Alligator mississippiensis: one gene and its partners. The protein of the gene in region 1 purifies or fractionates together with the protein of each later gene. This does not show direct contact. Links are inferred from orthologs where the notes say so. Each region holds a gene or a part of one and is shown on either strand. Other genes may lie near its edges.

The links.
Region 2: the proteins of WWP2 (region 1) and POLR2D purify together in Homo sapiens (affinity purification with mass spectrometry; 3 studies listed by BioGRID and IntAct, with this or other methods). This does not show direct contact. The link is inferred for Alligator mississippiensis from reciprocal best matches to the Homo sapiens genes WWP2 and POLR2D.
Region 3: the proteins of WWP2 (region 1) and GPN1 purify together in Homo sapiens (affinity purification with mass spectrometry; 3 studies listed by BioGRID and IntAct, with this or other methods). This does not show direct contact. The link is inferred for Alligator mississippiensis from reciprocal best matches to the Homo sapiens genes WWP2 and GPN1.

Annotation. Positions count from the first base shown.
Region 1 is NC_081833.1:76,451,392-76,455,131, reverse strand, and holds the start of WWP2 (NEDD4-like E3 ubiquitin-protein ligase WWP2), read right to left. Parts: upstream 2,953-3,740; 5' UTR 2,902-2,952; coding exon 2,857-2,901; intron 2,707-2,856; exon of another isoform or gene 2,617-2,706; intron 1,556-2,616; coding exon 1,471-1,555; intron 463-1,470; coding exon 315-462; intron 21-314; coding exon 1-20. Other genes in the region: RNA-binding protein NOB1, read left to right, coding at 3,021-3,104, 3,220-3,352, 3,587-3,720. UniProt on the Homo sapiens protein: E3 ubiquitin-protein ligase which accepts ubiquitin from an E2 ubiquitin-conjugating enzyme in the form of a thioester and then directly transfers the ubiquitin to targeted substrates.
Region 2 is NC_081830.1:39,463,098-39,466,837, forward strand, and holds the start of POLR2D (DNA-directed RNA polymerase II subunit RPB4), read right to left. Parts: upstream 2,659-3,740; 5' UTR 2,622-2,658; coding exon 2,549-2,621; intron 1,628-2,548; coding exon 1,447-1,627; intron 1,056-1,446; coding exon 960-1,055; intron 566-959; coding exon 487-565; 3' UTR 1-486. UniProt on the Homo sapiens protein: Core component of RNA polymerase II (Pol II), a DNA-dependent RNA polymerase which synthesizes mRNA precursors and many functional non-coding RNAs using the four ribonucleoside triphosphates as substrates.
Region 3 is NC_081824.1:457,278-461,017, reverse strand, and holds the start of GPN1 (GPN-loop GTPase 1), read right to left. Parts: upstream 2,240-3,740; 5' UTR 2,197-2,239; coding exon 2,089-2,196; intron 1,956-2,088; coding exon 1,862-1,955; intron 682-1,861; coding exon 642-681; intron 1-641. Other genes in the region: ZNF512 (zinc finger protein 512), read left to right, coding at 2,534-2,551. UniProt on the Homo sapiens protein: Small GTPase required for proper nuclear import of RNA polymerase II (RNAPII). May act at an RNAP assembly step prior to nuclear import.

The DNA of each region.
Region 1 (3,740 bases):
GACTCTGGGAGGTGACATTCCTGAAAGGGAAGCCAAGAGTACAGCTGTCAGCATCTGTCGGCGTCTCCTCTGCACGCTGGTACTGAGCAGTGCTGTGGCCAGCAGGGAAGCCTCAGACAGGCCAGGCACAACAGCCAGAAATCAGGGCTGTCACAGGGACACCAGGCAGCCAGAGCCCCTCCTGCTAGCCCCAAACCTTCCTGCCCAGCACAACCCCCTCCCCTGGGAACTGAGATTTCTAACGCTTTCCCCCAGGTGCCTGCCCTTGCCCCACACCCCTTCCTACAGCCCCAGGAGGCAGCAGGGGCTCTTACAGGGTGAAGGTCTCGTTCCAGAGCAGCTCGGAGCTCCCAGTCCGCTTCCCCGTCCTCTTGGTCTCACTGGAAAGTCCATCCACCGTCACTTCCACGTAGCTGTTGATTCGGGACTGGCGGCTGTACACCTTCGGCTTCATGGACACCACTAGGCCGACAGGAGAGGTGCGGTCACCGTCTGTCGCCAGCCCACTCCTCAGCCCCACGTGCAACAGGCACCATCAGCGGAGGAGGAGCCCAGCGCAGGGTGTCCGGGTCTGTCCCTCTCAGCACAATCTCCCCAGCCAGGCCACACGGCCAGGCACAGGAAAACCAGGCCTTCGGAGCTGCCTTTCCACAGGCTTACCCCGCTCCTGCACGAGGCTCCCCTTTGTGCCCTGAGCTTATAGCACTGCTGGGCCTCTTACAGGACAACGCATCAGCTGGGCCCAGCCCAAGGAGGCCCAGGTGCCTCTCAGCAGTGGCCAAAGCGAGAAGCCAGCCCTGTTGCAGGAACCTGGGTTCCAGCCACCAGCCCAGGGGGAAGAGTGAGGTGTCGGGGAGCCCAGAAAGGAGGCGTCTCCTCTGCGGTAGTGGGGCAGTGTCATGCTACAGCCCATGGGGTGCAAGAAGGGCGACGAGAGCAGGGGCAGGCCAGAAGCCGGGGGAGCAGCCGGAGGTGTCGGGAGCCCCCTGGCGGCCCTCCGGGAGCGAGCGCCGGCTCCACCTCCTACTTGCCAAGTGGAGCGAGGAGCGAGCAGAGCCCCAGCTCCAGCTCAGCACAAAGGCTCTTCCTAGGTCTCCTGCCCAAGCCTGCCCATGAGGCACCTTCTACAGCTCAGCCACTGCCCAGGGCCAGCCCGGGGGCCCCAACTTCCCTGTGGCCAAGCCCACCCTGGCTAGGGATCGTCCCCCACTCTGGTGCTGGGATCAGGGCACTGACAAGAGGCAGCTGCTAAATCTGACTCTGGAAGGCTTTGTGCCTCTCAGGACTTAGCTGTGCAATCCCCGAGCGCAGCTGGCACCCGCGGCTAAGCCAGCCTTCTCCCCATCGCACCTCCTCCCAGGCACCGGGAGGGAGTGCAGGGCTGAGGAACATCCTACCCCTTGGCTGGAAAGCAAGGTGTTCCAGCCTGGACAGGGCTCCTCCTTCCCCCAGGCCCTGCCCTGCACTCACCTTTCAGCAAGAGCTGGGATTTCTCACAGGGCAGCCCTGCCCCGGCCCTGCTGCAGCTGGCGGAGGCCATGTCATTACCACGGGTCTGGAAAGCAAAGACAGGCACGACACATGAGCGAAGGTTCACAAGGAGCCAGGGGAGCCCAAGGCTGCGTTTGATGAGACCACCCCGGCGGGGCTGGGACCGGTCGCTCCCAGATGGCCGGCAGACCCTGGCGATGCCAGAGGCGCAGCCAGAAGTCAGCACTGAACCGCAGGCCGGGAGCAGCCCAGCGGCTGCAGCGCTGCTGCCTGGCCACGGCCGACCCCCACGGGCCTGCCCACTCGGCGTCACGAAGGAGCCCCCGGCAAGAGGCTGAGCACGTGCGAGCAACACACAGCGGGCCTCACGGGGACGGCACCGCAAAGGACCGGGGCCCCGGGACAACGCACAGACCCAGCAGCCGATCTCACGGCCCCGCTGCCCCAGCGCAGCCGTCTGGCTGGAGAAAAGGAGCTGCCCGCGTGCTCGGGGGCCAGAGGCAGCTGGGCGGCGACGCTGGCTGCACCTCCCGCGGCACAACCGTGGCACGCGGAGGAAAGGAAGGGCCCGTGCCGCAGCGCAGTGCCCATCGGGATCACGTCCTGCCTCTCCACGCCTTGGTCACCTCTCCTCCGCGCGGACACACGTGTTTATCCTCGCGCGCCCCGTTTCCCAGAGCGGGGCCGGGCGCAGATCGCGACCCAGCTCACACGCAGCTTTTGCGCTGCTGCCCTGCCTGGCCAGGTGCGACCGTTGGGGAGGGCGGAGCGAGATCAGGAGCCAGGTGCCTTCGGCTGCCAGACTTTGCCCCTCGTCCCACGCAGGAAGCCGCGCTGGCCGGCGGCCCCTTCGGCTGCAGGCGTAGCGACGGCCAGGAGCCGGGCGCGCGGGACGGCGCTCGCAAACCCAAGTCGGGCTGGCGCTTGCCCGACCGGCGCCGGGAGCTGCGGAGGGGGAGGGGGAGGGGCAGGACGGGGCACGCGCTAAACACCCTGGCAGCGGAGAAGGGCCGGAATGACCGCTGTGCCGGCGCGGAGCCGCCTTCCCTGTCGCGAACGCCGACCGCCCCTGAGCCCGCCGGCGAGGGAGGGGCGGCAGGGGGTCCCCCCGCCCCAGCCACCCACCTCCGGGCCGCAGCTCCGCGGGGCCGGGAAGGCAAGGAGGCCCGGCGCCGTGTCCACGGCCGCAGCGCATCCCCGCCCCGGCCCGGGCCCGGGCCCGACTCGCACCAGCTTCGGGGCGCCCCGCGCGGCCCCGCCCGCCTGAGAGGAGGGGAGGGGCGGGGGCAGGGAAACGCGCGCTGGGCTCGAGCCGTTCCCCGGGCAACCGCCAACGGCCACCCCCTCCCCCCGCTCCGCGGTTACCGGCGACGGCGGCGCGGCACTTCCGGCTCGGCGCGCGGCGGTCATGTGACGCCGGCAGGTCACCTGACCCAACGGGAGGCGGGGAGGGGGGAGGAGCGATAGCGATCCCGGCGTGCCCCGCGCGGCAGCCCCCCTCAGCCGCCCGCCGGACTACGACTCCCGGCATGCCGCGGGGCGTGGTCAAGATGGCGGCGGTGGAGCACGTGGTGGTGGACGCGGGCGCCTTCCTGCGGGCAGCGCCGCTGCAGGTAGCTCCGGGCCGGGCCGGGCCGGGCCGGGCTGGGCCGGGACTGCGGGGGGGGGGGGGGGGGGTCGGCGCGGGGCGGGGCAGGGCGGGGCGGGGCTGACGGCGCCTCCCCGCAGGACATCGGCCGCCGCGTGTACACGGTGCGCGAGGTGGTGGGCGAGATCCGCGACCGCGCGGCGCGGCGGCGTCTGGCGGCCCTGCCCGTCCCGCTCCTCTTCCGCCAGCCGCGGCCCGAGCACGTGCGCCTGGGTGAGTGCTGGCCCCCGACCCCCCGGCTCTGACGCAGACACCTGGGGGTGCCCCTGACCCCGCCCCCTGGGCCAGACGCCTGGGGTGCCCCTGACCCCGCCCCTCTCCCGGCTCTGACCCCGCCCCTAACCCAGACGCCTGGGGTGCCCCCTGGCCCCGCCCCTCTCCCGGCTCTGGCCCCGCCCCCTGGCCCAGACGCCTGGGGTGGCCCTGACCCCGCCCCCCTCCCCGCAGTGACGGAGTTCTCGAAGAAGACGGGCGACTTCCCGTCGCTGTCCCCCGCCGACCTGCAGGTGCTGGCGCTCACCTATGAGCTGCAGGCCGAGACCGGCGGCGTCGCGCACCTGCGGGCCGAGCCCCAGCACCAGGTATGGGGGGTGGGGTGGGG
Region 2 (3,740 bases), on another chromosome or scaffold:
AAAGCTATACAAAAGTATTCTTAAAGGGGGAAAATCCCACTATCTTGATCAAACATATACATAAAAACCACCACACGAAGTCTCATCAGTCCTGATTCCATGCATCATTATGATTGCCAACAACCAGTAGGAATAATTTCTCCATCTTGGGGAACAGGTGTACACAAGGAAAAAATTGTACAGCTGCACTTATTCTAGAAACCAAAAACACTGTAAAGATTCACAAGTCAGGGACAGGCTGTTAGGAAAAGCAAAGCACTGACACCACTCAGACAAGACTTTCTAGGATCCAATGGCTCTCACCATAAAAGAGTCTCTTTTATGGACTAACTGGCCTCCCATTTGAATGCATCTGTGGTGGACACCAGGCTGGAGTACTCTGCTCCTGGCACTTCCTTAGCTCAGGTCTGGGAGCAGCTGATTTGGTCTGGAGTGCAAAAAGCACTTGAGTTTTTCTCTGTTCATAAGAGGGGCTGGGTGTTAACCCTAATATTGGAAGCTTCGTTTGGTCTGAATATCATCAAGAATCTGCTGTAACTCCTCATCCTCAAACCGGCCCTCTAGGCTGCAAGATAAGAGCAATGACAGTAAATTAATGGCTTTAGACACATTTGTTTTCAAAGACCCAGAATTCCTCTTAACATATTGTTTTGTACCAACTAGCAACTCCTCCAACAGTGTAATGCAGACACTGTTCTGAGCCTCATATTGTGGCTGTCATGCAAACCAGACACCATCCCTCCTTTGACCTCTTTCAAGATAGTAATTTTGTAATGGCCTTCACCCACAAGACATCTGACTGAAGTCCTATATGGACCTGCACTCATAGGCCAGCCTAGTGTGTCTGTGAAGTTTTCAGTGCAAAGGAAAAACCCACAGGTGACCCCAGCTTGTCCTTTCTTCCTGTATCTTAGAGCCCCACAGTTCACACAGCAGCCCTGCTAAATACAAATTCTCACCTGGGAATCAGAGCCTTGGCCTCCTCAGCTGTCTCAGGACAAAGATTAGCTAAGCACGCCAATTCAAATTTATGGAGCTTCTTCTGGAGCAATAAACTGCAGATAGGGAAAATAAGATGGTAAGAATATAGCTACAACAGAATAAAAAAGTACAGGAAAGGAAAATGTACCAGTGGAAGCAGTAAAAAAGGAGGGAAGAAGGAGGGGCAAATTAAAAAAAAAGAGTGCATTTGCATAAGTACAACCCCACTTCAACTACCACTACTACTAATCATCCCAGGCTCCAAAAAGACTGATCTGATGTCACTCATAAATGTTTATTTTGAAGGCATCTATCATAACCCACTCAAGAAAGAACATAGAGCCTGGCTGAGATCTAAGTGCACCCCTCTTCTGGCAACATAGCTAAGGCATTTTAACTGCGCAGTACCAATACCATACATAATAAATTCCCTGACACAAATCTTTCCTGGTCTCTCCTACTCACCTGCGGACACTGGCAATAGTCTCTCGGTTTTTGAAGCGGCTGAAACGAGCCGTGTAGTTCAACGTTTTCATGAAGACTTCTGAGAGCTCCTGCTCATCCTCTGCACTCTCATTCTGCTGCTTGCGATGCTCAAGCAGCATGTGTACTTCTGAATTGAGAAGAGTCTCGGCAGTTTCAAACTCTAGGTGAAAGAGCAAAAAATCTCAGCATGAGAGAGGGATCAGCACTGATAATGAAGCCCATGTCTATATCCTTGCTTTTGTATTTGTGTTGGGGGCCTCCTGGCCCTGCTTCAGCTCCCCCCACCCCACGGGAGCAGATCTAACCCAGTCCCACAGGGGAGGGGGCCCTGCCAGAGGGAAACAAAGCAGGCTGGCCTGGCCCGGCCCAGCCCCATCTGGCTGTGTGCTGGGGAGGAGCATGCAGATATGGCAATGGGCAGGGAGCAGGGAAGGCGGTTTTAATACATTTATATCGGAGGCCAAATTAGCCAAAACTAAATCCCAATCCAAGAGTCCAGAATCATAAGTGGCCCTACTATCGGCAAACATCCTGCACCCTCACCTGGGGCTTCAGATGTTTCCAAAACCTTTGGCAGGCATCCTACTTGCAGGCCCAAGCCTAGAGGTTTGGGGTTCAGATGCCCCTGAGTTTTGCTTGCCCTCAGCCGTCAGGCCCTCGGAGCAAGTGCCGGAGGAGACTCCCATGCCCATAAAGTGGGCTTAAACCCGCTGCACCTTGGCGGGCCCTGAACCACGCCAGAAGAGCAGCTCTCCTGCGCAGCGGGTCAGGACAACTGCCTGCGTTGCCACACATACATGGTATTTCCCCTGCCAGGTTAAGAAGCCCCGACGCTTGTCCTGAGCTGTCAGGGGGAGGGCGGGTGTATGAATGGCCACTGCTCCCCCGCGGCCAGGTGCGGCGAGCCCCGGGGAGCCCGGCGAGGCCACCCTCGCTCACAGCCCGGGCACCTCGGGGGGCCTGTCCGCGGCCCCACGTGCGCGAGGAGGGAGGGGCCAGAGCAGAGCAGGTCGCGGCGGGAAAGAGCCCGCCGTCCCTTCTTGCTCCCGGCTCCTTCCCGCGGGGGGTGGCGGCCGCGCACCTTTGGGGAAGACGAGCTGCGACGCGTCCTCCTCCACGTCGGCCGCCCGCGCGTCGCTGCCTCCGGCCGCCATCGCCCGGCCCGGCCCGGCCCGGCCGCGCAGGCGCCGCGGAAGCGCAGCCCTCCCCGCCCTGTTGGGGCCTCGGCTCCCGCCAGGGGGCGCCGCCGGGCCGCTGGCCGCCCTCGGGGCGTGGCCGCACGGTACGCGTCGCGGGAAAGGCGGCCCAGCGCTCTGGGCCAAGTGCTGGTGGCCGCGTCGAGCCGGCCGTGCAGCTACAGAGAGACAGTCAGTGCTTGAAAATGAGCAACAGCTGCGTGGCCGGTTCCTGTGCAGCTCTCACTGGAGCGCAGAGCAGAGAGCAGGTTGACAGCCCCAGAGGCCGGACAACCAGCGCCTTGCAGGAGGGAGCTGGACGTCCCAGGGCTCGAGAGGGGCCCAGCTGTGCTGTGCCAGGCAGCCGGTGTCTTCCGAGGCTTCCCTGCGAAGATCCGCCTCAAAAAAGGAGTAGCAAATCCTGCAGGTCTTCCCATGGTTCAACGGTTAGCACAGCTTCTGCACTCCTGATGCTTGGCCCTGACAGAGATAAATACATCAGAAAGACAAGTATTTCACAGGCAAGCTACAAACCCAGGTGCCTGGCAGCAGACGACTGTGGAAGAAAGTCAGCAAATCGTTGCATCTTGAAATCAGCTTGACAACCAACATGACTGTGTAGTGACGGGGGCTTATTATTGCCATACTTCTCCCCTCCAAACGCTTGGCAAACAGATTTACACATTGTGCGCATCATAAAGGAATTGAAATTCAGGCACTGCTGCAACTGCAAACAACAGCATGGGGCAGCAAACAAAAGGCTCCTTTATCCCTGCCGTGATGATTTGGGGAATCTTATCTACAGTTTATGAATTTGGATTGATAGTATCAAATTGCTAGTATGACAGTCACTGAATCAGGAAATGTCTTTGTGCAGTCACCTTTCCTAACAAGGCCTCTTGTGTCCCTAGCAGACCAGGGAACTTAATGACAGTATTTTAACTGAACAGTGGGAATGCTAATGAGCTTTGCTGGAACAGGGAGGAGAACCTACATTTTTTACCTGTTTGTAGGAAGAAGATTTGGGAAAGGGAGATTCATCAAATAGGACACAGAGATGAGGGGGGAGGTTAAAAAGGACTTGGAACGAAAGGAAAG
Region 3 (3,740 bases), on another chromosome or scaffold:
GGGGCTGTGGGTTTAGTGAGGGGCACTGGCATAGCAGAGCTGCTCAGCACCACAAAGTGTTGGGGGGGGGGGGGGGGGGGCAGTGCAGTGCCCTAGCGAGCAAAGGGGGCAGGAAGAATTCTGATTTTAAATGACAAAAAACACAAAATCAAATGCCAAAATATGTAGGTATTTAGAATGTATTTTATTAATGATGATTGGAGGCACTGGTAGGCTTCCAAATTGCTTTAAAATTGTAAATCTCTCAATAAACCATTGTGTTCAGCTGATACCTCTATATATAGTGGCATTTCATTTTAATTGCAGAAAAAGCCCATGGGGGGGGGGGGGTTAATAAGAGAATTTGCCATTTTTAAATAGAGAAAACCACGATCCCTGCTTATGACAACTTAGCTCATTTATGGGGTAGAGAATTGTGCTTAGGTAACAGTTACAGAAGGCTCCTGGGTGGCAGCTCCTACTACACACGTACGTTTGTCTGTACCTTCTCCAAGAAAAACACAACCAGCCAAAGCAAAGGTCTCTCTCTCTTTCTTCAAACCTGCTCCCAGCTGAAATCCTTTGATCAACCCCAACCCACAGGCCTCAAGTCCGCCCAGGAGAGCAGCTCAGCATGCAGCCTTAGACCAAAAAAAGGATACTGCTTCATGACTTCTTTATATTTTACTGTATCTCTGATATCTAGGAAAAGAAAGTGATGCACGTGACCACTCTACTAACCGAATACGTTCTTATTACAAAAGAAAGAGGAGGGATTCAATTACCCCCTCCCTGGCTCGGTGCAGGGACCTAGCAGCAGTGACAGGAGTCTCACGGCAGACTATGTCAGTTCACCTATGTTAGCTGTCCCAGTACACTTGTAAAACCCACCCCACTGCGCAGAACAGACTTCCAAATTCCCATGCCTGCTAATCTACTCTTGGCTTTTAGGATGGTTAAGGCTAAATATGGTAAAAAAAGGCAGTTATTTGCCTCGCAGGGGCCAGCACTCTGGAGCCCTGTCAAACAATAACTATCTTCCATTACTTTTGCCTGTTCATTTTGCTGCAAAATCCTTTCCTCCTACCCCTCACCCAGCATTACACGTTTGTTTGCTACCCTGCTCCCACCCTTACTGCCAAGGAAGACAGGCTGATAGAGGCTCAGCTCTGGGGAGACACCTAAAAGCACCGGGCCTCTCCAGCTCCACGAGAGTACGCCTGAGGAACAGCGAGGTACGTGTAGGGTCTTCTATGATTTCCAAGCTTTGATTTCTCCAAAATGCTTTTTTTCCCTAAGCTAGTGAAATATGCGACACTTTAATCTCGGGGATCTGTGTGCTGACAGGTGGCCATGGAGAGGGTCTGAGCCCAAAACCGACCTGCTGAAGTGGCTGTAGCCCCCGCCCCCGCGTGTGCATGTCTCATCTCCACCCTGAGGCAGGGAACGGGTGAAAGCCGAAGAGGGGGCGAACACAAGGCTCAGAAGCGCAGTCGTTTCCGTAACAGCATCGCGCTGGCACCCAACCCTTCCCGACGCTAGAGGAAACGACCCAGTGCGCTGCCTCACGGCCGCCTGTCCCCCGCTGACAGAACAAGAAGATTTGGGGATTATCAGGCAACGAGAGCCTCATACCCCAGTTTCAAATCGTAGCAAAGAGCACACGATTCCCGAGTCCCCCTCAACCGGGGAGGTGCACCCAGACGCGCACCTGGGCGTCCTGGCTCGCTCCGCTACCACGGCTCCCTCGACACGGGAAGCGCCGCCGTGCGGGGGGAGGCTGCGAGCCGCGGCTGGGATGGCCCATCGCTCCGTGCTCTATGGAGACGCCCGTTTCTGCCGACACCGCACGCAGCTCCCCCAGCCCCCCCGCGCGACTCACCGATGTTGGCGGGGAAGGGCAGCTCGTGCACGGCGGGGTCCAGGTTGATGACGTAGGGGGGCGCGCCTTGGCCGTGCAGGTGCGCGACGAGCCGCTGGGGCGAGATGGCACGAGACGGGGGATGAGGCAGACGGACAACAAGCACCCCCCGCCCCTTCCCGTCCCGCCCCAGCCAGGTCCCCCCCGGACCTGCCCCTCCCAGCCAGCCGGGCGGGTGCGGCCCCCACCTGCACGAGCGTGGTCTTGCCGGAGCCGGCCATGCCCAGCACCAGCACGCACACCGGGGGCTCCGGGCCACCTGCCGCCACTTCCCCCACTGCTGCTGCCGCCGCCATCTTGCCAACCACTTCCGCTTCCGGGTAACAGAGCGCTTCCGGGGAGCCGAGCTGCCCGCTGAGAAAAGACAGGAAGTCTCCTGGGCCCGCCCAGTGCTGGCGCTGTGTATTTGCGTCACAGTCCCCGGGAGCCAATCATTGACGGGCGCTTTAGGTAGCTGCGGGCCGATCTCTATGCTCCTGCCGGAAGCGGCTTGTCTGGCACCACCCCCTCGTCTCTGTGGTGCCAAGGGGTACCGCGCGATGACGTGTCGGCCGCGCGCCGGGCCTCTTGCGCGCCTTTTTTTTTTTTGTGCCCGTCGCGGGGTGATGACGTGGCGGCGCGGACGCGGGCGCCATGAAGAGGCGACGCTCGGTGAGTCCCTGAGTCCCCCCCGGCCCCCCCCGCGGCGGCCCCGGGCGGGGGCGGGGGCGGAGCCTCCCGGGATCTTCAGCGGGGCCCCCATCCCCCCTGGGGGGAGCTCCTCCCCCCATCCTCGGGGTGGCCTCCCCGCCGTGGGGCTCCTCAGCGGGGTGCCCCCCTCCCCCTCCGCGGGGTGCCCCCTCCCCCCGGGGGGGCTGCTCGTCCTTCCTGAAGTGAGCGGGATGCTCGAGGTGTCTGTCTCCCGGCTCCTCGCCGCCCCGTCCCGCGGGCCCTGCGGCCGCGCCGTGCCTCCACGGAGAGGATTGTTATGAATAAAGTCTGCGATCGCGCCGAGCTGCTGGGCGCGGCCGGGTCTGGCCAGGGGTCCCGGGCCGGGGCCCTGTGTGGCCGTGGGGGAGGGCGCTTGGCACAGCCCACACCTGGCCTCGCGTGGGGGAGGGGGCGCGGCCTGGCCCGGTCCAGGGGCAAGGGGAGGCAGGGGCCGTGGATCCGCTGCCGGGGGCTGGGCGTTTGTCAGCGGGGCGGTGTCCGTGTTAATTGTCGCTGCGCCCCCGGCCCAGCCCCCCGCCCGCCCGCGGGAGCCCCGGGAGCCAGGTGCCGCGGCTCCGCGGGCTGCAGCTGGAGGCCTGCCCTAGACCGAGCCGCTGGTCTCGAGGGCTGCCTGGGGCTGGTGCGCGGGTGTGATCCAGCCCCGCGGAGCCGGTCTACGGGCGTGATCCGGCACGCGGCCCGGCCCAGCCCGCACGCCCGGATCCTGCTCGTGCACAGGGCCGCGCTGAGACCCGTGGGGGTGCCCCTGGTCTGGAAGGGGGGCAGCCGTCGGCGTTGTCGCCGCTCCCTGCTGTCAGGTTTCCAGGCCCGTGGGGATCTCCCCGGGCTGGGCTGGGCTGCAGCTGGAGCGTCCCTGCCCTAGGCCGTTCTCCATCTTGTGTCTGTGGTCACTGGAAATTAAGGCTAGAAGGATCCGGTGGATCCGACTTGTGACTCGCAGGCCAATAGGTATTGGCCAGATTCTGTACAAGACAGTCACAATTAGGCCCTCAAAAAACCCCCCCAGATTGGACCGGGTGCCACTGACGTTGCTCAGGAGAGCGGGCCCTCGCGCCAGCGTCTTCTGCCACGTCAGGGAGCTGCTCTTGCTGCTTCGCCCATCTAAACACTGGGTGTTGTCAGTCTCTGC